Callithrix jacchus: one gene and its partners. The protein of the gene in region 7 purifies or fractionates together with the protein of the main gene of each other region. This does not show direct contact. Links are inferred from orthologs where the notes say so. Each region holds a gene or a part of one and is shown on either strand. Other genes may lie near its edges. The genes, in order: PPME1, CDCA4, ECSIT, IER5, PPP2R1B, PPP2CB and PPP2R2D.

Region 1 (4,274 bases), on a different chromosome or scaffold from region 7:
CCTCAAAACTGCCTTAGTAATCTTTAAATAGCTTGGATAAGAGTAATTCCCAGATTGTAGTTTCAGTCCTCAACCCAATGGCCTAAAGTCCTATCACTCTTCCCAGTGTTCTTTTCTCACTAAACCGCCTACAATGCAAAAAGGCAGGGTAGTCCTTTTTTCCTTCAAGGCAGCCTTGTAGAGATTCAATGTCCAGTTTCCTGATCTACTCTGGGTTTCTAGGGTGACTGTTTTCACTGCAGTCACCTACTTGGTGAGCTTGTGTCTTCTTCAGCTGCTAACCTGATGAGCGCTCTCTGCGCTCTCTTTCATGATCTCAGGTCCTTCAGGAGATCCTCATTCCCTTACCCCGACTCCAATCCTATCACACCTTTTATTCCTTTCTTCCCCACGCTAGACTCCACAATTATTTTCTCAAACTCCTGCTCATAGCCCTTCACGCTTCATTCATTCAACTAACATTTACCGAGTACTGCTTTGTAGTAGTCCTTGGTCATTCAGTAATGTAGTAACCGTGATCCTTGCCCACAATCACACCAGCAATGACACAATCCCTTTGCCAATTTATGTTCTTTCCTGTCCCTGTGGATCTCTAAAACCACACACACACACACACACACACACACACACACACACACACACACACATTTAACTTCGTTATCAAAACCACTCCTACGGTTTGTTCTTCTCTTTTAGTCATCCTACCGGTAACCCTCATCGCACCGCATTTATCACCACTCTGTGGCCCCTACCCGAGCCCCTGATTCCTTTCCATTCTCTGGAGGGCCAATTGCCCTTCCTTTTAACCTTCTGGTTCCCTGGCTATTTCCCCTCTTCCGTCCCTTATCTTGTTTAGTCAGCGGGGGTGGGGGGGTCTCCCTAAAATTCCTTACATTCTGCTCCACTATTACGCTTTCCTCAATCTTTGATCGCTCGGATTACCTCTTTTCTTGCGCCCACGGCTGCCCCCAGGCCCTTGGCCTTTTCGTTGTTTCATGACGAGCCCGAGCTTTTCTTTACAAGCTCAACTCCGTCTCCAGCACCTAAACAATATCCTCCCGCCATCCCTCCCCACCGCGCCTGCGTTCCCCGGCAACTGGCGCCGCTGTGCAGCCTGGGAGGCAGAAAGAAGCGCTCTTCCTCTAACAGACTCCGGACAACGGTGCAAAGAGAAGGCGCCAAGACGTCTTCCCTACAATAGACTACAATACCCAGGATGCTTTGCTACACTACCTCTGCGGGGTTGGCTGGCGGTGCCTCCAGCTGCGCAAGCGCATAGGGATACGCCCTTCGAGGACTCCATTGCCCAGGGTGCATTGCCCTGAAGAGCGCTCCTCTTTCCGGTGAAAGTCGTCGGGTTCCCGGCTGGGAGACTTCGAAGTTCACGGACTCAGTTACCCAGCTTCCTTTGTGGAAGGGCTGTTGCGCACTTCCGGTGGAAGCGCTGAAGCGAGTGGGTGGAGTTTACGGAGCCGGTGGGCGGTAGGCGGTGCTACCGGTATCTGGGTGCTGTCCAAAGGCGACAGGACGTCGTTAGGCGAGCGAGCCGTGACCGGTTGGGCCACACTCAACGTGGGACGAAGCTTCGCCTACTGTTTGACTACGTGCGTGCAACCTCCCCTTAATGTCGGCCCTCGAAAAGAGCATGCACCTCGGCCGCCTTCCCTCTCGCCCACCCCTGCCCGGCAGCGGGGGCAGTCAGAGCGGAGCCAAGATGCGAATGGGGTACGTGACCCATACCCCTTCTCCCTAGGGGCCAGGCCCCAGCCATTGGAGAATGGTGTCTCTGGGCGTCCAGAGAGGCACGGGAAAGGAGTCTACGGATAGGAGAAAATGTTGACGGCGGCCTGGAGACATTTAGATGAAGTAGAAGGCAGATTGGGGGACTAGGGGAGGCGCCAAATCAATGGAAATTGGAGGAAAAATAACGTTATTGACGGTAGAAATGCATGAGGCAAAATTAGGGAAGCTGAGAGTAACATAAGGGATCTGAGAATCGCCTCCGGAAAAAATAGAAAAGGGAGTAGAACGGTGACAAAGGTGGAGGGAAGTGGGGAATGACAGAGAAAAGTTGAGGGGAATTGGGGCAACAACTAAGAAAAGGTTTGGGAGGAGTAGATATTATCACACTTCTAATATCTACACTGTGAGAACTAGATATTAGAAAAGCTGAGGGGAATAGAGAACACCTAAGACAGGGTTGGAGAAGGAAAGAGGAGAACTAGGAAGCAGACGATTCTAGAGAATTCCCAGAGGTGTAAAGGCAGATGCAGGGAATGAGAGGTGAGATTAGGTGTCTTAAGGGAGAATGAGAAAGTTTGGGGAGAGGGCCTAAGGTAAGGTGGAGAACATAGCCACGAAGATTGTTAAGGTAATAGGAATATGCTGAGAAACTGGACAGGATATGGGAGAGAGAGAAGAAGGAGAGGACTAAAGAATTTAGAAAGTGACCATAGGCTCTGAAGATTGAGAAATGACTATAAATACGGTTTGTTGAATGGAAGTGCTGCAGTTGTAAGGTATGGGAAGCTTAAAGAGGAAACTTCGGGCAATCAGTTTTTGCTGGGCCAATAGACTGGAGGGAAGTGATGTACTGGCCTAAGACCTTGAATTAGTGAAGCTTTGGGAGTAACCACTTAAAATGTTTTTGGGGAAATAAGTTTGCTGGAAAAGGAAGAAAACTGTGTTGAAGAGATAGGCCTTGAAATTTTATATCATCAAATGGCTTGTGCCAGGTTAGGGGATACTTGGGCCAAGGAAAAAGAATGAGGTGAACCTGGGAGAAGTAATTGCTGGAAAGCAGAGAGAATTGAATAAGTATTTCATTTTGAGGTGATATTTGTAGTTTCAGACAGGATTCTGGGAATTAGTGACTGTAAAGAGAAAAGGAGTAGGAAGAATACTTAGCTATGAGGAATTGAGAGTGTATTTGGGATTCTAGAGATGAATTGGTAGATATTCTTTGAAAAAGGACTACAGAAGAGAAACCTTAGGTTCTGAAGAAGTAATACGTGTAAAAACTGATCAAAAAGGAGGTGAGAATATGTGATGCAGTACTGTGACAGTAAGTCCTGGGGATGAAAAGAAAGGAGAAGCCTATACAACTGGGGTGAAGGAATGGGAAGAATGGTTGGGAAAAACAGGGAAGGAAACTAAGAACTGAAGTGGAGACCTGCTATGAGACACAGTAGAAAAATGAGAAAACTTTAGCAGAAGATAGATAAATGGATGCACAGTAGAGGAGGTAGAAAGCTACATAGTAGGTAAAGTGAAGATTGTTTTCGCTTTGGAAGACAGAAAGATTGGACTATGACATGAATAAAGATAATTTGGAAACCGACCCATAACATTATTTGGGAAAATTAACCTGGAGTATAATATTAATGTAACAGTAATTGTGGATATATATCTTAATTTCTGCCTTTCTTAAACTAAAATTTGATCTTTCAGTATACCAGCACTCTTCTATACAAATACATAAGAAAAGCAAATTTTTAATAATTATACATTTTTAAGATAAGTTTAATTAGAGCTTAGCTTCTCACTTTGTCAAAACAAGTTCTCTGAAGATTGAAGAACTGGGTGAAAATACTGAGAGAAAATAAAAGGAAAATCTGCTGATTAGAAGATTGCATAATTATTAGTAATTTATCCTTTTTCTTTTTTATTACTTTTCATTTTGTTTTTTTAGAGATAGAGCAAGACTTTGTTGCCCAGGCTGGAGTGCAGTGGCATGATCTCAGCTTACTGCAACTCCTACCTCATGGGTTCAAGTGATTCTTATGACTCAGTCTCCCAAGTAGCTGGGATTACAGGCATGCACCACCACACCCAGCTAATTTTTGTATTTTTAGTAGAGATGCAGTTTCACCATGTTGGCCAGGCTGGTCTTGAACTCCTGGCCTCGGGTGATCTGCCCCAGTTGGCCTCCCAAAGTAGTGGGATTATAGGAGTGAGCTACCATGTCTAGCCAACTTACCCTTTTCTTTTTTTTTTGTCTCTCAAATTTATTTTTTATTTTTATTTTATATTATTTTTTTATTTTACTTTAGGTGTATACTATATCCAGCATTTCTCCCCATGTTATCCCTCCCCACCCCCCACTGCCCCCAGTGTGTGATGCTCCTCTCCCTGAGTCCACATGTTCTCATTGTTCAACACCCACCTATGAGTGAGAACATGCGGTGTTTGGTTTTCTGTTCTTGTGTCAGTTTGCTGAGAATGATGGCTTCCAGATTCATCCAAGTCCCCAACTTATCCTTTTTAAACAGATG
Region 2 (4,084 bases), on a different chromosome or scaffold from region 7:
TTTGACATGCATAAACTTTCAGTTCTCAGGTGGTCTTATCAAGTCCCATTTTCTTTTACCTGGGCGGTAACCTAATGGGATTTTATACTTCCAGCCTTCCTGTCACCTCCTCCAAATCTGTTACTAACAGTGATTCTTCGTGGTTGCGGTGACTCATGCCTATGATCCCAGCACTTTGGAAGGCCAAGGGTCACTTACGGCCACGAGTCGGAGACCAGGCTGGGTAATACGGCAATATCCTGTCTCCACAAAATTACAAAAAAAAAAAATTAGCTTGGGGTAGTGGCGCACTCCTGTTCAAGTCCCAGCTACTTGGGAGGCCGACGCGAGAGCATCACTTGAGTACAATGGTTTGAGGTTACAGCGAGCCATAATCACGCCGCTGTCCTGCAGCCTGCCTCTGTCTCTGTCCCAGACATTCCTCTCCTGGAATTCTCTTCCACTCTTCCTTTTGGTGCCTTAAGACGCCCCTCATTCTAGAGTCCTATGTGAGCAGCGCCCCCACGCCATTCCCAGCTTTTTCCAACAGCATTTCAGCCTTTACTATTGACCTTGGCGCATCCATATTTGCGGATTCATCTGCGGATTCCCGTCCACCACCACTGCCGTCACCCGGGAGGTTTCACTTGCACTGGGTTCCCCGCTGCAGCCACACCTGCCGAGCCTGCGGCGGGCGCTCAAAGACTATTACCGAAGTCAGTGATTGCAGGCTTTTGTACTAAGAGATTCAAAACACGTGTCCCTGCTTTCTACTTTCACGTTGTATTTCTAACGTGTCAACCTGGGAAACCCCTGGAGATGCCCCGGTTTCTGGAGAGGCCTGGACGGACTCCGGAGCCCAGGCCGCCCGGAAACTGCCGTGCCCGGCTCCTCCCCACCCCGGCACGCATCCCTCCGCGGGCGAAAGAGCATCATCCCCTACCCAGCTGCCGGGCTAAGCTCGCCCGAGGACCCCACGTGAGCCCCAGGCGCAGGCGCACTCAGGGCCAGACGCGCGGAGACCTGGGAGCTGGCGGGGCGGAGCCGGACTGGGCGCAGGGAGACCTGGGAGCAGGCGGGGAGTGGGCGTGGCGGGGCCGGCGCGGGGGTTCCAACGGTTGCTGCCTCCGCGCGGGAACACTCGCCGCAGAGGCCCCGCCCGCGCAGGTTTGAACCAGAATCCCCGCCCCTGACCCGCGAGTGGCCAATCAGCGAGCGCGGCGCGCGGCCAGCGCAGCGTCGACCCTTTGTGAGCGCGGAGTGGCGGTCGCGGGCCCCGCCCGCGCTGGCGGGCGCTCCTCCCTCAACGGCGGGAAGCTGGCGGCAGCGGCGGTGGCGGCGGCGGAGCGGAGGACCGGAGGACCCGGCGGGCGGCCTCGCGGGTCAGGTGAGCGGGCAGGGCGGACTGCGAGGGTGGCTACGGCGGCGCGCGCCTTTGTGCTGCAGGGCGCGGAGGAGCCCGGGGCGGCGCGCGGGGTCCACGGCTCCTGGCTCTGGATCCGGGGCGGAGGCGGCGCCCGGGACTCCCGCTGGGGCTGCCGCGGGCGCTGCGTTCCCCTCGGGGTGGCCGCTGCTGAGGGTCCCGCGGAGCCGACGGGCCCGCGCCGCTGTCTGCGTTCCACGCGGAGCTCGGGGCTGGGACTTCGCCGGGGCCCCGCCGGGGCTCACAGCGGCGTTTCCCGCTCCTCGGCTCTAGTTGGCGGCGGAGGGAGCGGCGGGGGCGGCGGAGGGAGCGGCGGGGGCTCCGCAGCGGCCGCCCCGGGCCAGCCCCGCCCCGCTCACCGGGCCAGGGCGCGTCTCAGCCCGCTCAGGTGGAGCCCGGCTGCGGAGGAGGCCGAGGATGCGGGAGGAAGCCCAGACCCCGCCCCGGCGGGTCGGCCAGCGCCGTCTTCCCGAGGTGGATCGAGGAACAGGGCCCGAGACGCGCGGAAGTCGGAGGCCAGCTTCCCTCCACGTGTTCGAACTCTCGCCCCGCAGACGGGATCGTCGCGACAAAGGCTCGGACAGCGTGCGGGGGACAAGGTCCCCGCGGCCTCTCCTCCTGGGACCTTCGTGTGGGGCGCACGACACGGCGGGACCCAGATAACCGTTCTCAAAGCGAGCCTTAGAAAAACACCGCCCGTTCCCAAAACTTAACGCCGTATAAACCTTCCACGTGCAACCGCTCTCTTGTCAAGTGTCACGTGCTTTATGATTAGAGTGAAGGGACCGCCTTTATCTTGGAAAGGGGGCTAGGAAGTTTCCTCAACCTGCCATTGGAACATGCTTTCGGGAAAAAGAAAGGGTGTGGCCTGTCACCCCAGCACTTTGGGAGGCCGAGGTGGGTGGATCACGAGGTCAAGAGATCGAGACCATCCTGGTCAACATGGTAAAACCTCGTCTCTACTAAAAATACAAAAAATTAGCTGGGCGTGGTGGCGCGTGCCTGTAATCCCAGCTACTCGGGAGGCTGAGGCAGGAGAATCGCGCCATTGCACTCCAGCCTGGGGAACAAGAGTGAACCAACTCCGTCTCAAAAAAAAAAAAAAAAAGAAAGGATGTGTATCATTCCAAGTAACTGAAGTACCTGAAATTGGCCGGGCGCGGTGGCTCACAACTGTAATCTCAGCACTTTGGGAGGCCGAGGCAGGTGGATCATGAGGTCAGAAGTTCGATACCAGCTGGCCAACATGGTGAAACCCCGTCTCTACTAAAAATACAAAAATGGGCCTGGGTGGCGGCACATGCCTGTAATGGTAATCCGAGCTTTTCAGGAGGCTGAGGCAGGAGAATCGCTTGAACCCCATGGGTGGAGGTTGCAGTAAGCGGGGATCCCACCATTGCACTCCAGCCTGGGCAACAGACCCCATCTCAGAAAAACAGAAGTACCTGAAAGTAACATCAGTAATTGTTCATGAACAGTCTCCAGCAGACTGTAGTGGAAGGAGGAGCTCCCATGCGGTAGCTCTGAAGAGTGCAGACCTTGCTCCTCCCTGTTTGCAGATGAAATATTTCAAAGCCTATCTGATGTGTGATAGAAGTTGAAATTGTTGGTTTGCTTAAAAACCCGAAACTTCAAAGTGGCTGCCGTCCAGCTGTGAAGGTGACAGGTTAGGTCAGAATTGAGTCTGTCCCCAGTTGTCCCAGCCCTACTGATCAGATTCTGGGAATCTGCATTTTCAGCCAGCCTAGTGGGATTGCTGAGCCCGGAAGGGGTGGCCACTGCTGCTGTAGTGAGGGGCCGGGCCCTGAGCTGTACTGTACTTGCCTGAACAGCACTTCGGCGCTGCTCCTGGCCTCTGCCTGGGTGGGCTTAGGTTGCTGTCCATAGTGGCCTGTTGGCTGTTCACCTGCCGTGTCGGACATGTCCTCAGTCTGGCCCTCTTTGTTTTCTCTGGTTGGTGCCTGGTTTAGAAGCCTAAGGGCAGTGCTGGCAGTTGACCGAGGGGGAACCCTGACAGCCTTAGCTGTCTCGTTGACACCCTTGAGGAGCTGGTGGGATTTTAGACCTTTAATTAAAAGTGTAGAAAGACCTTCAGAATTGAGCTGGGCTGGGTAGGGTGGCTCACTCCTGTAATCTCAGCACTTTGGGAGGCCGAGGTGGGAGGATTGCCTGAGGTCAGGAGTTTGACGCCACTTTGGCCAACATGATGAAACCCTGTCTCTACTAAAAATACAAAAATTAGCCGGGTGTGGTGGCACATGCCTGTAATCCTAACTACTTGAGAGGCTAAGGCAAGAGAATTACTTGAACTTGGAGGTGGAGGTTGCTGTGAGCTGAGATATGTATCACTGCACTCCAGCCTGGGGGACTGAGCAAGACTCCATCTTTAAAAGAAAAAAAAAGTTGAACAGGAAGCTAGACTCCCCAGCCCCACTGGTGTAGGACCCGTGATCCTTCTGTGTTAGAAGGAGTTAAGCAGCCTCAGGCCAGAGTCACCCTCAGGGAGCTGAGCCCAGCCCAGGCCTCCCTCAGGGCTGGTGAGGACCATGTTCTTGCTGACTTTGTCACAAACGCAGATAGAACCCGATTCAGGGTGATCCTCACGGGCCAGCTTTTCCGAGCCCAGTCTTATCCTTTTCACCCCTAAACACATTTTCTGGGTGACAGCTCTTTGGGGTCACA
Region 3 (3,710 bases), on a different chromosome or scaffold from region 7:
AGCCTGGCCAGGATGGCGAAACCCTGTCTCTACTAAAAATGCAAAAAAAAAAAAAAAAAAAAAATCCAGGCATGGTGGTGTATACCTGTAATTCCAGCTAATCAGGAGGCGAAGGCAGGAGAATCGCTTGAAGCCAGGAGGTAGAAGTTGCTGTGAGCTGAGATCGCACGGAGCTGAGATCGTGCCATTGCACTGCAGCCTAGGCAACAAGAGTGAAACTTCATCTCAAAAAAAAAAATTGTCTAGTGTTTCTGAATTATGTTCAGGGTATAACATTTTAAAAGATACCGAAAGGTATTCCTTCCCACCCTGTCCCCCACAGAGGTGAAAGCTATCATTTGCTTCTAATGTCTCCTTCCTGGGATATTCTGTATATGTGAAGTTATTTTTCTTTCGTTAATTCACAAGCATTGAGCACTTATTACCTGCCAGGCACTGTTCTACATGTTTTATAACTACCCAAAGTTAGGTTCATGCCCATAATCCTAGTGCTTTGGGAGGCCCAGGCAAGCGGATCACCTGAGGCCAGGAGTTGGAGACCAGCCAGGCTAACACGGCAAAACCCTGTCTCTACTGAAAATATAAAAAATTAGCCAGGCGTGGTGGCAGGTGCCTGTAATCCCAGCTACGCAGGAGGCTGAGGCAGGAGAATCACTTGAACCCAAGAAGCAGAGGCTAAAATGAGCCAAGATCGCACCACTGCACTCTAGCCTGAGCAACAAGAGTAAAACTCCATATGAAAAATGAAATTATAATAAATAAATAAATAAAATAAAATTAGCCAGGCACAGTGGTGTGCATGTGTAGACCCAGCTACTTCAGAGACTGAGGTGGGAGGATCACTTGAGCCCAGGAGTTCAAGGCTATATGAGCTATGATCATGCCACTGTATTCCAGCATGGACAACAGAGAGGGAGACCCCATCTTTAAAAAAGAAAAAAACAAAAAATTAGAATTAAGTGCTGTTATCCCTATTGTGCAGCTGGAGAAACTGAGGCACAAAGGTACAGTGACTTGGCCGAGGTCACACAGTTTGTGACAGAGTTAGGATTTTGACACAGGTGGGCTGGCTCCAGGGTGCTACCCTCAGGGTGAGCATCCTAAAGATTGGGGGCTATTGCCAAATGGGAGAGAGGGAGGAGGGGATGGGATGGAGGGCCACACACCAGGTCTAGGAGAGGTGTCCTCAATTTGCTGATATCTCCCTTTCTGTTTCTCTGTCCCCAATTCCTCTGCAGGGGGTTGGGGGTTACAAGATTACATCCCTTCTCTTCCTTGCAGACTGCTTCTTCCAAAGACTCAACAGATGTAGCAGATCCCACCCAGCCCCACATCATAGGTAAGTCCTGAGAGCATGGGGTTGGCCAGGCCTCTAACCTGCCCCAGGCCCTGCCAGGTTCCTGCTGGGCCCAAATTGGGCTCCCTGGGCCTTTGGGGAGACTCCCACACAGGGCACAGAGCATGTATGTCTCCACACCAGGAATCCAGAGTCCCGATCAGCAGGCTGCCCTGGCTCGCCACAACCCAACCCGGCCTATCTTTGTCGAGGGTCCCTTCTCCCTGTGGCTCCGAAACAAGTGTGTGTACTACCACATCCTCAGAGCTGACTTGCTGCCCTTGGAGGAGAGGGTGAGGGCTTAAAGCAGAGCATGTGTCAGAGCTGGGGAATGGGCTGGCACCACCCTGAGGGCGAGTGGGAGAGGCTGGGGAAGGGAGACTGCGAGAGCCCCAACCTCTGACCCTGCCTGCACTACCCTCCTTGGAGCAGGAAGTGGAAGAGATGCCAGAGGAGTGGAACCTCTACTACCCGATGTCGCTGGACCTAGATTATGCGAGGCATGGCTGGGATGACTATGAGTTTGACATCGATGAAGGTAAAAACTGAACCCCATGCCGTGGCTCACACATGTGCCTGTAATCCCAGCCCTCCAACAGACTGAGGTGGGAGGGTCACTTGCCCAGGAGTTGAGGTTGCAGTGAACTATGATCCAGCCACTGCACACCAGCCTGGGTGACAGACCCTAACTCTTAAAAAAAAAAAAAAAAGGCAAAAACCTGGACAGGCAGGACTTCCAGGATGAGGGGCGGCCTCTGGGGTCAATGGGTAGGCCCAAGTTGAGACACAGTCCACTTACCCCCGGTCCTCCTGCCACACACACTCATTTGTCCCAGGGGCTCCAGACCTGAGGCCACCCACCCTGTCGGCCTTTGGTCATTCCCTCCTTCCACACCTCTGTGCTGACTACTGGGAGTCACCAGGACAAGCCTAGTCGCTCGGGTCAGTGAAGGAACAGGCAAATTACACTTTGGGGAGCTGAGGAGATGAGCATGCCTTGAGTAGGAGGTCAGGAGGGCTTCCTGGCAGAATCTGGAAGTCCCAGAAGGCATCGCCCAGGTGAAGTGTGGAGTGGGCAGCCTAGGCAGCAGGGCTAGCTTGTGCAAAGGTCTGGAGGTACAAGAAGGTAGGAGGAGGCTGGGTGCAGTGGCTCAGGCCTTTAATCCCATCACTTTGGGAGGCTGTGGCAGGTGGATCATTTGAGGTCAGGAATTGGAGACCAGTCCGGCCAACATGGTGAAACCCCGTCTTTATTAAAAATAAACCTAGCTGGGTATCGTGATGTGCGCCTGTAATCGAAGCTTCTCAGGAGGCTGAGGCAGGAGAATCACTTGAACCTGGGAGGCAGACGTTGCAGTGAGCTGAGATTTCGCCACTGCACTCCAGCCCGGGCGACAGAGCGAGACTCCATCACAGAAAAAGAAAGTGGAAGGGAGTGTAAAATACCTAAAAAGGTGTAGGCATGGGTTACCCGCTGCAGCCCCAACTGGGCAAACCCTGAGGTTTGCATCTCTTCCAACAGTGGAGGAAGGCCCTGTCTTCGCCATGTGCATAGCGGGTGCCCACGACCAGGCAACGCTGGCCAGGTGGATCCAGTACCTGCAGGAGACCAACCCAGCCCTGGCTCAGATCCCCGTGGTCTTCCGCCTGGCTGGGCCCGCCGGGGAGCTCCAGACATCTGCAGGGCTAGAGGAGCCACCCCCGCCCGAGGACCACGAGGAAGAAGACAACAACCTGCAGCGACAGCGGGAGGGCCAGAGCTGAGTCTGAGCTTCCAGGAAGGCACAGTCTGTGGCCTGAGGAGATGGTGGACTGGAATGAAGGCATGAGATGCCCTTTGAGTGTGGAGCAAATAAATGTTTTGCTGCATGGGGCTCCCTTCCCACCTCTTTGGCAGTGTGGCATCCCCTCCCCAGGATCTCAGGCTGCCAGCGATGGGCAAGCGAGACCCCTGCAGAGTCTGCAGGCTCTTCTGGTTCTCTCCCACCAAACGAAGCTAGAAAGTTTAACCGAAGAGGGGCGGGGCTGGTCGTGCGCATGCGCAGTTTCCGTTATTGGTCTCCTTTTGGCGCCCCGGGGCAGCGAGAGACCGTGAGAAATTTCCCGGCAGCGCAGAATATGCGCGCCACTTCCGGTCGGGCTCCTAACAACGGGGGAGGCTGGTAACCAGGGTGGGGGGGATGGCGGAGCGGGCGGCCGAGCCCGAGGTGGAGGCTGAGGCGGGCGCGGGTGAGGAGGCAGCCACCGAGGAGGGCGCAGCGGGCCGCAAGGCGCGGGGCCGGCCGCGACTCACGGAGTCGGACCGGGCCCGGCGACGGCTCGAGTCCCGGAAGAAGTACGACGTGCGGCGCGTGTACCTGGGCGAGGCGCACGG
Region 4 (3,900 bases), on a different chromosome or scaffold from region 7:
GGGACCTGACAATTTGGACAAGTCAGTCTCTTTCAGCTTCCTATGTCGGTTGCATCAGGCTTTTAAGGTCTACTACTATCTAAATTTTTTTCAATAATAAAGCGAAAAGATGATCCATATAACAGGAAACTAAGCTGAAAAACATTTTTGTGGATGAGCAGGGCTTCAAAAGTTGCTTAAATTACTTAATAAAATGGACACCCATGTATTGGTGACAGTCAAATTGGCCTAAACTGACCTTACAAAAGGCAGTTGTAATGGCAGGTTTCAAGACCCTGGCAGGTCGGTGATATTACTATCTAATAGCGGCCCTCTGATCTAGAAGAAAAAACTAAACGTGTCTCTCTTGATACTTGGTGGAGTCAGTAAACAATGTCCTCAGTCTGCGAGTGACTGATACCAAGAACCACACCTTCAATTTTCTAGCACAGGCCCTGGTTTCCCTCCTCCCACTTCCCTCCCAACCCAGGCAGGTTATTACAGACAAGGAGGCAGTTACGTTGCTTCAAAATATTTAATACGTGTTAGACACGTAGAAGTTACATTTTTATACAAAAATCAATACAACGAAGGAGAAAATACTGTACAAAAACCTTATCAGCTCCCCCAACCTTTATACAACAAAGACTGGAGTCACCTTATCTACAAAACCATAAGGTCTTTTCACTTAGGGCTTCTGTCTGTAAACTTTCATTAAACACTTTTTAAAAGCACTGTGTAGTAGTTCTGACCTAGAGCTTTTAAAAATATATCTTTTCTCTATAAACTCCGTATTTCCAAGCTTGAACTCTTCTGTGAAGTTCATCAAGCTTTTTCACCCCTGCGGGGAAGCGAAGGGCCGTTAATACTCCCCTTTCCTAGAGTAATCACAGGACATAAGCGTTTCTTCATTGGGAAAGAAAAGTGGGGAGGGAGGGAAGGAATTCAAGTCGGTGCTCGTGGCTAAAATCCCTCTCGTCTTAGGAAATCCTGTGCGGAAACGCCACTCCTGGCCCTGAAGCGGGTCTAGCTTTCCGGTGAGGGGTGGGTGTAAAGTCCCTCGCTCTCCGGAGAACGAATGGGGAACTCCCCGGCCCAAACCTTTTAGCCGCTTCCTTCTCCACGCTGTAGGCAGAGGAAAGTCCCTGTCTGCCCCCAGTCTCGTAAGCCCCGGGGAAGGAGTGGTGCATTCCAGAAGGACAAAATAGTCTTAATGCCACAAGACAAACTTACACACACTGACATACACAAACACAAAAGTTAACAATCGTCCTCTTCCAATGAGCCTCAAGCTCCCTGGTCTCCAGAAAAGCCTCGAGAGTCCCGGGCCGGCAGGGCCCCCGCGCCCGGGGGCGGTTTGCGATGCCCGGCGGCGACCAGTCTGCCCAACGCGCTCAGCGCCTGCGGTCTCTGGGCGTCCCTGCAGCCGGGAGGGTCCCGGCCCTCACTTCGGGGACGCCCGCTGCTCAACCTCCTCCCCGCACGGAGGCAGGGGCTCAGAAGGCCACGATGGCTGTGCTCCAGGGGTTCATGTCTCTCAGCACCGGCTTATCGCAGCAGATCTGCCCGGGCTCGGCGGCTTCCGGACCGCTCTTCTCTCCCTCCTCTTCCTCCCGGCCGCCCCCGGGGCTTTTCCGTAAGAGTCCCGAGAAGCTGGAACCAAAGATGCTGATGAGGTTAGCCACGTTCCCGGTATCCATCTCCTCCGTGTCGTCGTCCTCTCCCCCGCTCGGCGGCTGCTCCAGGTTCCGGCGGGGCTTCTTGAGCGGGGTCGAGCCGGGCGCCGGGAAGCTCGTTGGGCCGCCGCCCACCCCCGCCGCGCCGCGCTTCCTGGGGCACACGGCTGGCGGCGCGGGAGGCTCGTCCTCGGCGGGTCGCGGCGCACAGCAGCAGGCAGCGCGGGGGGTCGCGGCCGGTGTACCCGACGAGTCCTCCCCGCCTAGGGGGCAGCCGCAGGGGCGGCGAGAGGCACGAGACCCCAAGGGGAAAACACCCCAGCCTCCGGCGGGACCCTCGGCTTCTCCGGCCGCCGCCTGGCGAGGCCCCTCCACTCGGCTCCAGGCAGCTTTCGCCGCGTCCGCGGCTCCGCCCTGAGGAACGACCCCGACTCCGGTCACCGTGGCCTCCGGCACCGCGTCCCCCACCCGCGGCGCCTCTGAGACCGCGGAGCCCTCCGGCTGTGGCTCCGTATCCGCCCAGGAGGCACCGGCGGCAGGCGGGGGCGGCTCTCCCCAGCCGGCGGGTGGCCCGGCTGCCGGCTCCCCGAGCTGCTGCGGCGGCGGCGCCGGGATCCCCGCGGGACCCGCCAGGTAGAGGCCGGGGCACGGATCGCTCAGGTAGACTTGGCGGGCGCTGCGCAGCACCAGCGAGACCAGGAGGTTCTTATGCAGCTTGATGCCGCCGCGCTGGACCCGCGAGTTGTAGATCTTGCCCAGGGAGATGCTGACGATGCGGTGAGCCTCCAGCTTGAACTCCATCCTGCGTCCCCTGCACACGGCCGCCGGCGCCGGGGTGACGGGGTGTCACGTTCGGAAGCCGGGAGGGGACGGGAAACACAAACAAGTCCGCCCCTGGGTACACCCTCGATCGCCTAAGACTCCGAAGAGAAACGACTGCGGTGACGCGCGCGCTGTCCCGCTGGCCGCTCCACACCAGACAAGCGCCCAGCTCCGGGTCCGGTCGCTAAACAAGGCAGCCCGGCCGTCCCGTGCCTTATATAGGCTCCGCGACCGCCAATCACGAAGGGATGCCAGCCGTTCTGAGGCTGGCCGGCGCGCCCTCGTGCGCCGCGCACGACCAATCGGAGCCCGAGGAGGGGCGCCAGGGCCCGTTCGAACGTTAGTCCCGCGGAGCAGGCTCTTAAAGGGGGCTACGGTGTGGGTGTGCGGCCGCCAACCAGGGCCGGGGGGAGTGCGGGTCGGGGGCTGTGCTCGTGGGCGCTACTGTTTAGAGTTACAGACTCAGGATTGTGTGATGGCTTGCCAGAAACAAAGCGAACAAAATCTTTGAACTTTCATCCGAGTGTGGTGGTGGACTCTGCTCTGCCATGAAGTCCTGATCCTTCCGTGATCGACCCCGCCCTCACCAGCCACGCCACGGTTTCCAGGCCAGCCACACCTGTGAGCCATCCCCCTCAACTCTAAAATAGAGATGGTGGCTATACGCGGCGTAGGACACTTCTGGATAACAAATAGCATTACTGCACGGTATTTGGCAGTTATTATTTTTGGACGAGCCGCTTTCCCTAATAGAGTCACATACACTCTTAGCAGCTGTCAGTTCTAACCCTAAAGAAAAGGGGAATTCTAGAAGTTTTTGGCTACTTTTTTGGCTTATCAAGGAATTGTGTCTAGATACAAAGTTATTGGTTGTCGTCTAAAGCTGGCATCTTTCACTTTGTTCTCCAGATTGTAGAGCAAAGCTAGTTATCAAACAGGTTAGGTGGAAGGTGTTACAGGTTCTCCACAATGATTTTTTTTTTTTTCCATTACAAGGACTGACCAGTGTACCCTTGGAAAAATCGAGCAAGTTCTGAAAATACAAAGAGAGAAGTCCTGTGTTCCCATGATGATGTCATAATTTCATTTTGTGTCAAGGTAAAAATACAGGGCAAGGGAGTTCCAGAATTTTGTGGTCTGTCAACACCTTAGTCCATCTACTGGTCCTTATAAGTGTATTAGGGCAGAATTGCCACAGGGTTGCTCAGAGTTCTGGACTGGAAACATAGAGTCAGTTCCAGTTAGTTCCAGCAAACTCCACCACAGACCTGCCTGAGAACCTGAGGCCGCTTCAGTGTCTCCACTGCGGAAAGGGGGAAGTCACATACACATCTGCTTTATTATACAGAAGATAAATGACAACTCTCAGCCACAATCTGAATGAGAAAACTAAGCACTGCTTTCTTGGAGTCCATGTGGAACC
Region 5 (3,500 bases), on a different chromosome or scaffold from region 7:
CATCTGATCCGTTAGTAATTCCTATAGAGTCTAAATATATTTCAAATCAGCCCACTTTCTTCCATCCCTCCTATTACCAGCCTAGTCCAGACCATCATCATCTTTCCTCTAGATTGCTCTAGTAGCTTCCTAACAATACCTTCCACTCTTGCCTCTCACCCCACCCTTACAGTTCACATCACCCAGCAGATGGCTCACTGTCTGCCATGGCTCTTAGAAAATCCAAATTCTGGGCCGGGTTTGGTGGCTCACGCCTATAATCCCAGCACTTTGGGAGGCGAGGTGGGTGGATCACAAGGTCAAGAGATCGAGACCATCCTGGTCAACAAGGTGAAACCCCATCTCTACTAAAAATACAAAAAATTACCTGGGCATGGTGGCGTGTACCTGTAGTCCCAGCAACTCGGGAAGCTGAAGCAGGAGAATTGCCTGAACCCAGGAGGCAGAGGTTGCGGTGAGCCGAGATCACGCCATTGCACTCCAGCCTGGGTAACAAGAGCGAAACTCCGTCTCAAAAAAAAAAAAGAAAATCCAAATTCTCTACCTTAGCTTACAAGACTTTTTAAGACTCGCTTCTGTAGGCTTATCATATGCCCCGTGGTACTGCATGAGAAGAGGTCACAGTAGGCAGGGGACAGACCTCAAATGCCTTGATAACCTCTTTCATTCACACTGGTCTTCTTTCTGTTCTTTGAACTAACCAAGCTCATTATTTATTACCTTGAGACTTTTGCCCTAGGTCTTTCCTATAATGAAATGCTCTCTTGAGCATTCTGTGGCTGGCTCCTTGTCATTCAGGGATCAGCTTCAATGCATCTCTTCAGGGAGGTTTTCCCCAAACACTCAACTTGAAATAGCCTCCCAGTCACCCGTTACCACATCATCCAACTCCTTTTTTCTACAGAGGACTCATCACCATCTTCTTTTCTTGATTGATTGTCTTACTCCATTAGAATGTAAATGCCACTAGAGTGAGGAACCTTGTCTGGTTTGTTTCTTCTGTGTCCCCAGTGCTAGAATACAACAATAATCATGTATTGAAAAAATGAATTTCAGAGGCTTGGAAGCATGAAACAGGCTGGGTTCAAAACTGCTGGAGTGTGGCCGGGCATGGGTGCTCACGCCTGTAATCCTAGCCTTGGGAGGCCAAAGCAGCAGGAGGATTGCTTGAGGCCAGCAGTTTAAGACAAGCTTGGGCAACATAGTGAGACTGCATCTCTTAAGAAAAAAAAAAGCTGGACATGGTGTCATTATGTCTAGTCATAGCTACTCGGGAGGCTGAGGCAGGAAGATGAGGAGTTTGAGACCACACTGAGCCATGATTGTGCCACTGGACTTCAACCTGTGCAGCCAGACCCTGTCTCTTGAAAAAAAAAAAAAAAAAGGACTTCTGGAGTGTGAAGTGTTGAGGCTGGAGTAGGCAGGCAGAGTGGTCATCAAGGGCCAAGCAGAGTTCAAATCAAGACAACTCATAAGCAATTCTGAGGACCATGGCCTCATCCTGTAGTAGTGATAGCGATTATCCAGTGGTATTGCATGAGAGGGTATTACAGTAGGCGGGGACAGATGGTGAAAGGCCTTGGCAAGTGAAAAACAGTATCTGTTCAATGGGTTTCTGTAGGAAATACCCTGTAGGAAAGCTGAATACTGTCTACCTGTGTCAAATAATTTTCAGAATCTTTTATTAGATAACTTAATAACTCGTTATGCTTCTGTTTCACTTTTGGTTGGTTCTACAGGTGAGTTTTATGCTTTAAAATTTGTAGCTTATGGCATGTGTAGAATCTACCTGGATTACATGCAAACTCAGTAAGGCAGAGGTTCAGAGAGCCAGCCTGTTTATACTTTTTACTAGACCATGCCATATTCAGTTACTGATCCTAATCTAGACCATCCACCTGCTTTGGCCTCTTCTGTTTCTAAAGCTGTAAGCAAGGGGCCCTGCCATCTCTGTACTTTACTTTTTTTTTTTTTTTTGAGACAGAGTCTCTGTTATCTGTCACCCTGGCTTAAGTGCAGTGGCACAATCTTGGCTCACTGCAGCCTCCTGGGTTCAAGCAATTCTCATTCCTCAGCCTCCTGAGTAGCTGGAATTACAGGCGTGCACCACCATGTCTGGCTAATTTTTGTATTTTTCGGTAAAAACAGGGTTTCACCATGTTGGCCAGGCTGGCCCGAACTCCTGACCTCACGTGATCTGCCCATCTCAGCCTCCTGAGGGCTGGAATTATAGGTGTGAGCCACTGCACCTGGCCGTCATTGTAGTTTTCAGTTGATTGTTCTGTCAGAAACTCCTGCCCTGTGGCTAATGGAAAGTTGCTGAATGTGTTCTGAAAAAAGCTATTTTGTATTCAGCATTTTATAGGTTGGATAAAAGGATGGCATGGAGATGGTGGATAAGGGTTGCTTGCACCTCTGGGAATGGTAGAATAATACTGAAAAGGCTGTGGACTCAGTGACCTGACAAGCTGTTATCCTGTAAATGTGGTGCCCAGTGTTGATCATGTTTTTGTACTTACTATTGAGGAAATACACACGATCCTGTCTGAATTTGGCTATATATCTTTTAAACCTAGTGATTCAGCTCACAGTAATATTAATATTGTGTCAAGTCTCTTACACTGTGTCATTTGTAGACACCATCTGGGAATTGCCATCTGGGACATGAGATTTTGGCTTTTCTATAAAGTCGTGTCTTCGGGTTCTCTGCACCATATGTTATCACTGTGTGAGCTGAAAGTAACCATTTGGTGTGATGGAGCTAACATTCTGGTTACATGTACCACCTCCCTTCAGTCACTTTAAAAGGTGATAATCTGTTTCTAACCTGATTCAATAAGTTTTCTTCTCTGGTTTTCTTTTTTAATCCATTCAGCCTCCTTTGGAAAATCTGGCGACTGCGGAAGAGACTGTTGTTCGTGACAGAGCTGTGGAGTCCCTGAGACAGATCTCCCAGGAGCATACTCCCGTTGCTCTGGAAGCTTATTTTGTACCTCTGGTGAAACGCCTAGCAAGTGGGGATTGGTTCACCTCTCGCACGTCTGCATGTGGTTTGTTCAGCGTGTGCTATCCCAGGGCATCAAATGCTGTTAAAGCAGACATTAGACAGTAAGCTATGGTATTTTTTTGAGTTATTTGGGATTACTGGGGACTTGTAGCTGATAATTTACACAGTACTTTGTTATCAGTGAGTGACTGATACTGGGGTAGCAGGATTTATGATATCTTTTTTTTTTAAGAGATAAAGTCTTACTCTGTTGCCCAGGCTGGAGCACGATGGCATAATCATAGCTCACTGCAACCTTAAATTCTTGTGCTTCAGTGATCCTCCAGCCTCAGCCTCCCAGGTAGCTAGGACTATAGACATATAGACTAGCTCCTGGCTAGTTTTAAAAAAATTTTTCTGGCTGAGTGCAGTGGCTTGTTCTTAGAATTCCAGCACTTTGAGAGGCTGAGGTGGGAGGATTGCTTGAGTTCAAGAGGTCAAGACCAGCTTGAGC
Region 6 (4,294 bases), on a different chromosome or scaffold from region 7:
GTCCTCCCACCAGCACAGCAAAGCCAAACACTGGCATTGGGACTTGCAGTGAGAGAAAGTGAGGCATTTATTGCATTGCACCAAGCAAGAAGAATCAGGCAGCTCATGCTGAAGACCGCAATTCCCTGATGGTTTACAGGTAAGGGGGTTTTCCGAGTGTTTCCTTTTTTTTTTTTTTCACTCTTGTCACCAGGTTGGAGTGCAATAGTGAGATCTTGGCTCATGGGGCAACCTCTGCCTTCCAGTATCAAGTGATTCTTCTGCCTCAACCTCCCGAGTAGCTGGGATTATTACAGGTGCCCGCTACCATGCCTGGCTAATTTTCGTATTTTTAGTAGAAACGGGTTTCACCATGTTGGCCAGGCTGGTCTTGAACTCCTGATCTCAGATGATCCACTCACCTCAGCCTCCCAAAGTGCTGGGATTATAGGCGTGAGCCATTGTGCCCAGCCCAGGTAAGGGTTTTTAAAGGCAGGGAGGCAGAGGTTACAGGCAAAGTCATAAATCAATACATGGAGACTATACATGAATTTGATCTAAAAAGCCAAGATATCTGAAGCAGGGACCCACAGGTCATAGATGGATTCAAAGATTTTATGATTTGCAACTGGTTAAGGAGGCAAAGCTTTGTGAATTTTTCCAGGCTCCTCAGTAAGAAATTTAGAACAAAGATAGATAGTTTGAAGTCTCCATGCCAGTGGACAGCACTTTCCATTTGGTGAGGGTCCAGGTTTCTAAAAAACAACTCAGGGACATCGTCCTCTTTAGTTTCTTTAAGGAACCAAACATTTTGTGAATCTAACGTCCTTGGTTACTGCCTTAAGCTTTTATTACCTTCTTGCTTATCAGGTTGCTCATTGACTTCTCGAGGAAGTTAGGTGCCGGGAATGTCCCTTGAGAGAACTCAAGATTTTCCTTTCCATACTTGGGGAGGGGGGTGCCTAGCTGGCCCCTAAGAAGGGGTCCCTCCTCTGTCTCAATAAATATTTGTTGAATGAACAAATCATTAACCTCAGTACATATTGCAGAAAACGCAGTCAAGAACGCTAGAGCTGGAAGGGCCACAGATTATCCTACAGAACAACCATTTCACTTTTCTAATGTTGAAGGGAAGGATTCGAGATGTTAGGACTACAGACCCGGCTGTAAATAATCAATTATTTACTCCATCAATATTGAATGCCTGCTATTGAGTGCTAGACTCTGGGGGGAACAATGTTAAGGGGAGCCCAAGTTTTCCAATTCCCTGTCCAGAGCACTGAAAAAGTACTGCAGGAAGCTAAAGTGAGGACAAAGTTCCCAGAGATCAGTCTATCTGAAGGGAGAACCAGCAGAGCTTGGTCTGGGGCAGGGTTGAGAAAGGAGGAGGGACCCCGGCCTCCTCAGACCGTTTCTCCGCCAGGCCAAGCGAGGGCGCTGTTCTGCTCCTAGTGCGCCGTGGGCGGGCGGTGCCGCCTGCTCGCCTTTTCCCGGCGGAAATGCCCGAGCGATGACGGAAACCTGGAGGGAGGGGAGAGAAAGAGCGAGAGAAGGGGAAAGATAGCCTGTAGAGGCCGGCGGGTGTGAGGTGGCGGCGGACGGCCTTCGTCCAGCGGGAGTTGGCCGAGAACCCGCGGCGCGCTCCCCGGCACCTCCCCGCGTCCTTCACCTATTCGCGCGGCGCGCGGCCAGGCGAGAAAGGGCGGGCGGGGGTCTCCTCCAGGCCGCGCGCTCGGAACCGCCTTCTGGGCTTGGGCGGGGCGCGGGGCCCGCGGCCGCCCTCCCTAGCTCTGTCTTCCCCCAGTGGGATCTGGCGGCGGCGGCGGAGGGAGAGGGGAGCGGCGCCCGGGCCGGGGCCGGGGGCGGGTGGGGTGGGGGGAGGGCGGCTGCGGGGCAGGGGCTCGGGATCCGCATCGGGATCGGGCCGCCATGGACGACAAGGCGTTCACCAAGGAGCTGGACCAGTGGGTCGAGCAGCTGAACGAGTGTAAGCAGCTGAACGAGAACCAAGTGCGGACGCTGTGCGAGAAGGTGAGGGCGCCGCGGGGGCGAGTGCGGGAGTGCGAGAGCGCGGGGCTGGGATGGGCCGCGGCCGCCGCTTTCCTTCCTGCACGTCCCAGGCCCGTCCGCTCCCGGCCCGGCTTGGCCCACCGGGGGCCTGCGGGGTTGCAGCCCCGGCCTCCATTCGGGCGGCGGGCCCGGCCGGTCAGGGACCGGAGCGTTGGACTGCCCTCGCCCGGCGCCTCTGCCTCGGCGCTGACACGCCCCACGCCCGCGGCCGGCGGCCCAGATCCCGGGCGTGGGGGCTCGGGTGTGGACGGAAAGGGAAACGCGCCCCCCGGAGTCGAGCCTGAGGTTGGTCAGGTTGCCTGCGCTCCCCTGGGGAGTTCCTGCCACTCCAGCATGTCCCGAGTGGGCTACCGAGAGCGGCGTCCGAAAAGGAGCAATGCTGTCTCTGAAAATGCACCTAAAATTAACCAGAATGTCGTACCTACTAATGAACTTGTTAATTAATGTAGAATTTTTGTCAGGCGAACGAGGCACCTCAAAAATCACTCACAAGTGCTGTGACTCACGCCTGTGGTCACAGCTACTCGGGAGGCTAATGCGGGAGGATTGCTTGAGCCCAAGAGTTAAGAGACCAACCTGGTCAACATAGTGAGGCCCTGTCTCCACAAAAAAAAAAATAAAAAATAAATTAGTGGGGCATGGTGGCGGGTGCCAGTAATCCCAGCTATTCGTGAGGTTGAGGCCGGAGGTTCGCTTGAATCCAGGAGGTGGAGGCTGCAGTTAGCTGAAGTCGCGCCACTGTACTCCAGCCTGAGCGACAGAGCAAGACCCTGTCTCCGAAAAAAGAAAAAAAAAAAAATTACTGGCTCTTTAATGTGTCAAGCGTTTGTTTGTGGAGAGGTAGGCGTGATGGCCAGCTGCGATTTTTAAAATAGAGGTTGACTTTGGTGGAAACAGATGGTGACTGGTCTTTGCCTTCACTCGCTCTTGGAAGTAAAGCATTGATTTTCCTAAACGAGAGCGGGTCTTGAGTTTGGGAACCGTGTTTGCTGGAAATGAGGTGGGGTGTGCGTTTTCACGCATGATAGCACTTTTCAGACAATTATTCTCCATTTTAATATAAAGTTTTTTCTTTTCCGAAGAATAACGCCTGCAGGTGGTCAATTCTTTCTTGTACATCGTTCATGAGTTTGTAAAGTGATCTTCACTTTATAAATACTATATTCCTTGTTGTCTTAACCCCTGGAATCATTTCCATCTCTCCATCTTTAAAGTCTAATTTTCCACATTTATCCTTTATAAGATGGACTAAATATTTTTCATGTTAAAAATTCCCACTTGAAGTCCATGAAGTAACGAGGTTATTTATTTTTAACATAATCTGTACTTTTTTTTTTTTAACCATAACGCTTAGAAATCATGATATTGCAGAAATACACAAGAAAAGGACAATTTTTTGTTAGTCTTATTTTAGGACATTCTTAAAATCATGAAATTTACTTAGAAAAGAAGCACTAATAGTGTTAAGTTAAAATAGTGTTTTTAACGGGTATAATGTTGCCTGAGACCTTTATGTATTAAGTAACTATTGGTTAACACCGAAGAATTTATTTTTGTAAATAGAAGTGCCAAGCAAGTGGTATTTTTCTTTTTCTGAAACAAACTGCTTACTTGTGGCTTCAGTAAACATTCATTTTATTGTGTCTTAAAATTTATACTTTAAATATCTTTCTCAAGCTCTAATGTGAAGTGAATTGTACAGGTTTGAAATGAGCTGAGTCAGTTAACCTTGCTATGAACATCAGAATGCAGACTTGAAGTTATGGGCAAAGTGTTATTTGAATCTGTTTTTCCCATTGACTTTCTTTTTTTGTTGTTTTGTTTTTGAGACAGAATGTCACTCTCTCACCCAGGTTGGAGTGTAGTGGTGCCATCTCTGCTCACTGCAGCTTCCGTCTCCTGAGTTCAAGGAATCCTCCTGCCTCAGCCTCCCGAGTAGCTGGGATTAGAGGTGCCCACCACCATGCGCTGATTTTAGTAGAGATGGGGTTTCGCCATGTTGACCAGGCTAGTCTGGAACTCCTGGCCCCAAGTGATCCGCCCACCTCAGTCCCTCAAAGTGCTAGGATTACAGGCGTGAACCCTGTGCAGAGCCCCCATTGACTTTCTAATAATTTTAAGATGAACTCCTAGAGAAGAATATTGTACCACTACTATACCTTGAAATAATCACACCAGAGTGTCAATCACTTGTGAAACTTTCTGTATTTGTCAAAAGAGATTTTTTTTTCCTTCGGCTTCTAAA
Region 7 (3,500 bases):
TCAGAAATCAGCATGTCCAAAAAGAGAGTGTGCTTTCTTCATCCTCCTTTTCCTATTTGTTACTCTCCTGCTCTCTCCTGCCTCCGTCCCAGCAAGGCTTCCTCGAGAATTCCTCTCCCTAGACCCAGTGGAACGCCGCGAGGGTGCAGAGTGTTGGAGAAGGCTGAGGGGTCACTGGGGTGGGAGCTGGGACCAGTTGGTGGCAGAGACGAGCCTGCAGCCCAAGGACAGTTCTCGTGCTGGCGCTTGGGAGGAAGCCAGGGCAGCACAGGCAGCACGCTGACTTGCACATTGTGCCTTTTTGCTTATAGGCCGCAGTTTTTTCTTGGTAGATGAATGTCTTAGGAATAGGACTAATTTGGTTATATACTTTTCTTTTTAAATAATTTGGTTCCATTTTTCTCCCTCGCAATAGAACTGTCTGTTGAAGTGCTGTGCTTCTGTAAAGAGGGGTAGGCGTGGGTCCAAGGAGAGCAGTTTAAACATCCGCCCTGTGCGGCCCACGTGGGACCGTCCAGCCCTGAGAAGCTCAGCTCCTGCCCGTGGAGGCTTCAGTTGAAGGAATGCACCGTACATCAGACTCAATGCAGTGGAGAGCTGTGGGGAGCCTCTTGGGATGACTTCTCCTAATAGAAGGAACATCTGTCTAGACTTAAAAGTTCGTTTAGTTCAGTTTCTTGAGCATATGTACTCAAGTGTCAAACATCTAAGATACTAGTTACTGGCTGTAGAGCAAGAATGAAAATACTGGCATCCTTGATTTTTGAATTACGGAATAATTAATAGAAAATTTCCTTTGGGCATATAGAGATTCAGAGGTTAATAGAGATGCACCTGCAAGCCCACCACCCAGAGGTTATGCCTTCATCAAAGGAAAGAGAACGCTGGGATCCAGATGAAGCTTCTGTCCCCTCCCCCATCTCGTTCTGCCACTTTTCTCCCAGTCTTTCTCACTCTCCCTCCAGCTTCCCAGAGCTGCTCATTCATTTGAAGATGGTGTATATCTTCCTAAGCATGTTCCTCCACTTCTCTAACAGTTGTTTTGTGTGTGTGAAAAACGGATGTAAGCAGCACTCACTGTGGGCGTCTGTACCGCCTGCCGCACTACGCAGCTGTGCCATCGTCCGTGCTAGCTCGTCACCTCCACGGCTGCATGGTGGCCCTGCACGGTTGCATGGTGGCCCTGCACTGTTTCCCTTCTCTAGCTGGTATGTGTGTGGCGTCTGGTTCACTCCCACCATGATGGGGCTGCCACATCGTTGTGTCACGCTCCTCAGGCACGTGCTGGCTCTCCTCTAGGGCAGACTCAGCAGATGCTTCCCCCCAGGGCCAGGTTGCAAACATTTTTGCCTCTGCAGCTCATAGCGGCCTTTTCACAGCCACTCACCTCTACCCAGATCGTGCAGCGGCTGCCAGAGACAGTGTGTGTGTCCCACTAAAACCTGCTCTAGATTCAGACCCGCAAGTTGAATAGAAGAGCGGGAATGTCCTTTCTGTTTTGTTTTTTTTCCAATAAATTGCTGCTGAGTTTCATCTGTTAGAGATTTTTTTTTGAGCCAGGATTTTAGAATTAAAAGCCTGTGATCCTTTGATGTTCCAGTTCAGTGTTAAAGTCTCCTCTTCACTGTACTTTGTTCATTAAAACAGCTCTCATGTCTCCTTGCAGAATAAAAGCCGCCCTCATTCTAGGGGAGAATATAATGTTTACAGTACCTTTCAAAGTCACGAACCAGAGTTTGACTATTTGAAAAGTCTAGAAATTGAGGAAAAAATTAATAAAATTAGGTGGTTACCACAACAGAATGCTGCTCATTTTCTACTCTCTACAAATGGTAAGAATTGTTTTCTAAGTGGCTGTTTGATTTAGTGTTTTATTTTTAATTTTCTGTGTGTAGAGTCCATTTTATTTTAAAAGTTATTCCTGCTTTAAATCTGGGGGCAGGGGGATAAATTATTATCTAGGGTAGCAAGTGAAAGGTTGAAATTGAGAGTATGCAACAAAAAGACACATTGTGTCTGCATGGCTCCACAGCTGTGGCAAACAGGGTGTCCGTGGGGATGCTCACCAGAGACCCAGCAGCTTATCAGCCAGCGCAGGGCCACACCGCTTTCTGATGTGATACTCAAACAGTAGTGATGCATGTTACAGTTTTTCTTTTCATATGGAGAATGAGGTTTTTATTTTCAGATAAAACTATAAAATTATGGAAAATAAGTGAACGGGATAAAAGAGCAGAAGGTTATAACTTGAAAGATGAAGATGGAAGACTTCGAGATCCGTTTAGAATCACAGCACTACGGGTATACGTTGCCTTTTCCTATCCAATGCTTTTCAGAAATTAAGAATATCGTTTGTGTCCGCTGTTCAGAGAATACTGTGCAGTGGAATACTGTGAGATCTACTTTCTTGATTCATGAACCTTATTTGTACTCATGTGTATGTGTTTAAAGCAAGAGATTTCTCCTATTTTCACAAAGGCAAAAAGTCACACGTGGTCCTTAGAAAATACAGCAATACTAAGGGGAAACTCTCATTTAATTCTACAGCAGAAATCTTGGTGGGCATACCAACCACCCTTCTCTCTGAAGGCCGAAGTTCAGAACACTTCACAGGTGAAATAGCATACCTTGCAAATTTAAAGATAAACTGTGGACCACCAAGACACCTTGGTGATGGTTCTCGTGGAATTTCTTTGGGGTTGACATAGGCAGTTGCTGGTAGTTCAGAACTCTTCCCCTGTCCATCCATGAGCATCATTACTTTTTAATTGTTAAACTCTTTGCTCCATTGTTGGTACGTCTCCGCCCCCACCACCATACAGTATGAAATGAGCATAATCAGTTCTGCTGCCTAGATTTTTTCATATTTTAACATCTATGAAATCGGGTAAAACTTAAAACCTTGGTCTTATGATTGACTGGTGCTGCACACCACTGATGGTGTCTTAAATTAGATGGAACATGGTGAAGGGTGTCAGGCAGACTGGACTCAAGCCCAGGTGTGTCTTGGTGAGAAACCAGTACCTGTGCAGAGGTGTGTCCCTGGAAGGAAACCCTGCCTGGTCCCAAGGGAGTGCCATTATTCGATTTGAAAACCATTGGTTGATTAGTTAATTGGTTGGGGTGGTTTGTTGGTTAATCGATTGAGTGGTTTGGTTGGGGTAGGTGGGTGTGTTGGTTGGTTGGTTAATAGGTTGGGTGGTTGGTTAATCGGTTGGGTGGTTGGTTGAGTGGTTTGGTTGGGGTAGGTGGGTGTGTTGGTTGGTTGGTTAATAGGTTGGGTGGTTGGTTAATCGGTTGGGTGGTTGGTTGAGTGGTTTGGTTGGGGTAGGTGGGTGGGTTGGTTGGTTGGTTAATAGGTTGGGTGGTTGGTTAATCGGTTGGGTGGTTGGTTGAGTGGTTTGGTTGGGGTAGGTGGGTGGGTTGGTTGGTTGGTTAATAGGTTGGGTGGTTGGTTAATCGGTTGGGTGGTTGGTTGAGTGGTTTGGTTGGGGTAGGTG

Evidence for each region.
Region 1: the proteins of PPP2R2D (region 7) and PPME1 purify together in Homo sapiens (affinity purification with mass spectrometry; 4 studies listed by BioGRID and IntAct, counting the BioPlex papers as one, with this or other methods). This does not show direct contact. The link is inferred for Callithrix jacchus from reciprocal best matches to the Homo sapiens genes PPP2R2D and PPME1.
Region 2: the proteins of PPP2R2D (region 7) and CDCA4 purify together in Homo sapiens (affinity purification with mass spectrometry; 3 studies listed by BioGRID and IntAct, counting the BioPlex papers as one, with this or other methods). This does not show direct contact. The link is inferred for Callithrix jacchus from reciprocal best matches to the Homo sapiens genes PPP2R2D and CDCA4.
Region 3: the proteins of PPP2R2D (region 7) and ECSIT purify together in Homo sapiens (affinity purification with mass spectrometry; 3 studies listed by BioGRID and IntAct, counting the BioPlex papers as one, with this or other methods). This does not show direct contact. The link is inferred for Callithrix jacchus from reciprocal best matches to the Homo sapiens genes PPP2R2D and ECSIT.
Region 4: the proteins of PPP2R2D (region 7) and IER5 purify together in Homo sapiens (affinity purification with mass spectrometry; 3 studies listed by BioGRID and IntAct, counting the BioPlex papers as one, with this or other methods). This does not show direct contact. The link is inferred for Callithrix jacchus from reciprocal best matches to the Homo sapiens genes PPP2R2D and IER5.
Region 5: the proteins of PPP2R2D (region 7) and PPP2R1B purify together in Homo sapiens (affinity purification with mass spectrometry; 4 studies listed by BioGRID and IntAct, counting the BioPlex papers as one, with this or other methods). This does not show direct contact. The link is inferred for Callithrix jacchus from reciprocal best matches to the Homo sapiens genes PPP2R2D and PPP2R1B.
Region 6: the proteins of PPP2R2D (region 7) and PPP2CB purify together in Homo sapiens (affinity purification with mass spectrometry; 6 studies listed by BioGRID and IntAct, counting the BioPlex papers as one, with this or other methods). This does not show direct contact. The link is inferred for Callithrix jacchus from reciprocal best matches to the Homo sapiens genes PPP2R2D and PPP2CB.

Annotation. Positions count from the first base shown.
Region 1 is NC_133511.1:66,763,890-66,768,163, reverse strand, and holds the start of PPME1 (protein phosphatase methylesterase 1), read left to right. Parts: upstream 1-1,474; 5' UTR 1,475-1,624; coding exon 1,625-1,725; intron 1,726-4,274. Other genes in the region: C2CD3 (C2 domain-containing protein 3), read right to left, coding at 1,234-1,303. UniProt on the Homo sapiens protein: Demethylates proteins that have been reversibly carboxymethylated. Demethylates PPP2CB (in vitro) and PPP2CA. Binding to PPP2CA displaces the manganese ion and inactivates the enzyme.
Region 2 is NC_133509.1:139,880,571-139,884,654, reverse strand, and holds the start of CDCA4 (cell division cycle-associated protein 4), read left to right. Parts: upstream 1-1,284; 5' UTR 1,285-1,366; intron 1,367-4,084. UniProt on the Homo sapiens protein: May participate in the regulation of cell proliferation through the E2F/RB pathway. May be involved in molecular regulation of hematopoietic stem cells and progenitor cell lineage commitment and differentiation.
Region 3 is NC_133523.1:10,642,915-10,646,624, reverse strand, and holds the end of ECSIT (evolutionarily conserved signaling intermediate in Toll pathway, mitochondrial), read left to right. Parts: intron 1-85; exon of another isoform or gene 86-199; intron 200-1,281; coding exon 1,282-1,339; intron 1,340-1,480; coding exon 1,481-1,629; intron 1,630-1,768; coding exon 1,769-1,874; intron 1,875-2,858; coding exon 2,859-3,100; 3' UTR 3,101-3,210; downstream 3,211-3,710. Other genes in the region: ZNF653 (zinc finger protein 653), read left to right, coding at 3,517-3,710.
Region 4 is NC_133519.1:39,363,894-39,367,793, reverse strand, and holds IER5 (immediate early response gene 5 protein), read right to left. Parts: upstream 2,668-3,900; 5' UTR 2,457-2,667; coding exon 1,476-2,456; 3' UTR 501-1,475; downstream 1-500. UniProt on the Homo sapiens protein: Plays a role as a transcription factor. Mediates positive transcriptional regulation of several chaperone genes during the heat shock response in a HSF1-dependent manner. Mediates negative transcriptional regulation of CDC25B expression.
Region 5 is NC_133511.1:11,463,780-11,467,279, reverse strand, and holds part of PPP2R1B (serine/threonine-protein phosphatase 2A 65 kDa regulatory subunit A beta isoform), read left to right. Parts: intron 1-2,875; coding exon 2,876-3,108; intron 3,109-3,500. UniProt on the Homo sapiens protein: The PR65 subunit of protein phosphatase 2A serves as a scaffolding molecule to coordinate the assembly of the catalytic subunit and a variable regulatory B subunit.
Region 6 is NC_133514.1:31,978,076-31,982,369, reverse strand, and holds the start of PPP2CB (serine/threonine-protein phosphatase 2A catalytic subunit beta isoform), read left to right. Parts: upstream 1-1,494; 5' UTR 1,495-1,908; coding exon 1,909-2,010; intron 2,011-4,294.
Region 7 is NC_133513.1:125,243,570-125,247,069, forward strand, and holds part of PPP2R2D (serine/threonine-protein phosphatase 2A 55 kDa regulatory subunit B delta isoform), read left to right. Parts: intron 1-415; exon of another isoform or gene 416-616; coding exon of another isoform or gene 617-658; intron 659-1,666; coding exon 1,667-1,832; intron 1,833-2,188; coding exon 2,189-2,301; intron 2,302-2,547; exon of another isoform or gene 2,548-2,613; intron 2,614-3,500. UniProt on the Homo sapiens protein: Substrate-recognition subunit of protein phosphatase 2A (PP2A) that plays a key role in cell cycle by controlling mitosis entry and exit. Involved in chromosome clustering during late mitosis by mediating dephosphorylation of MKI67.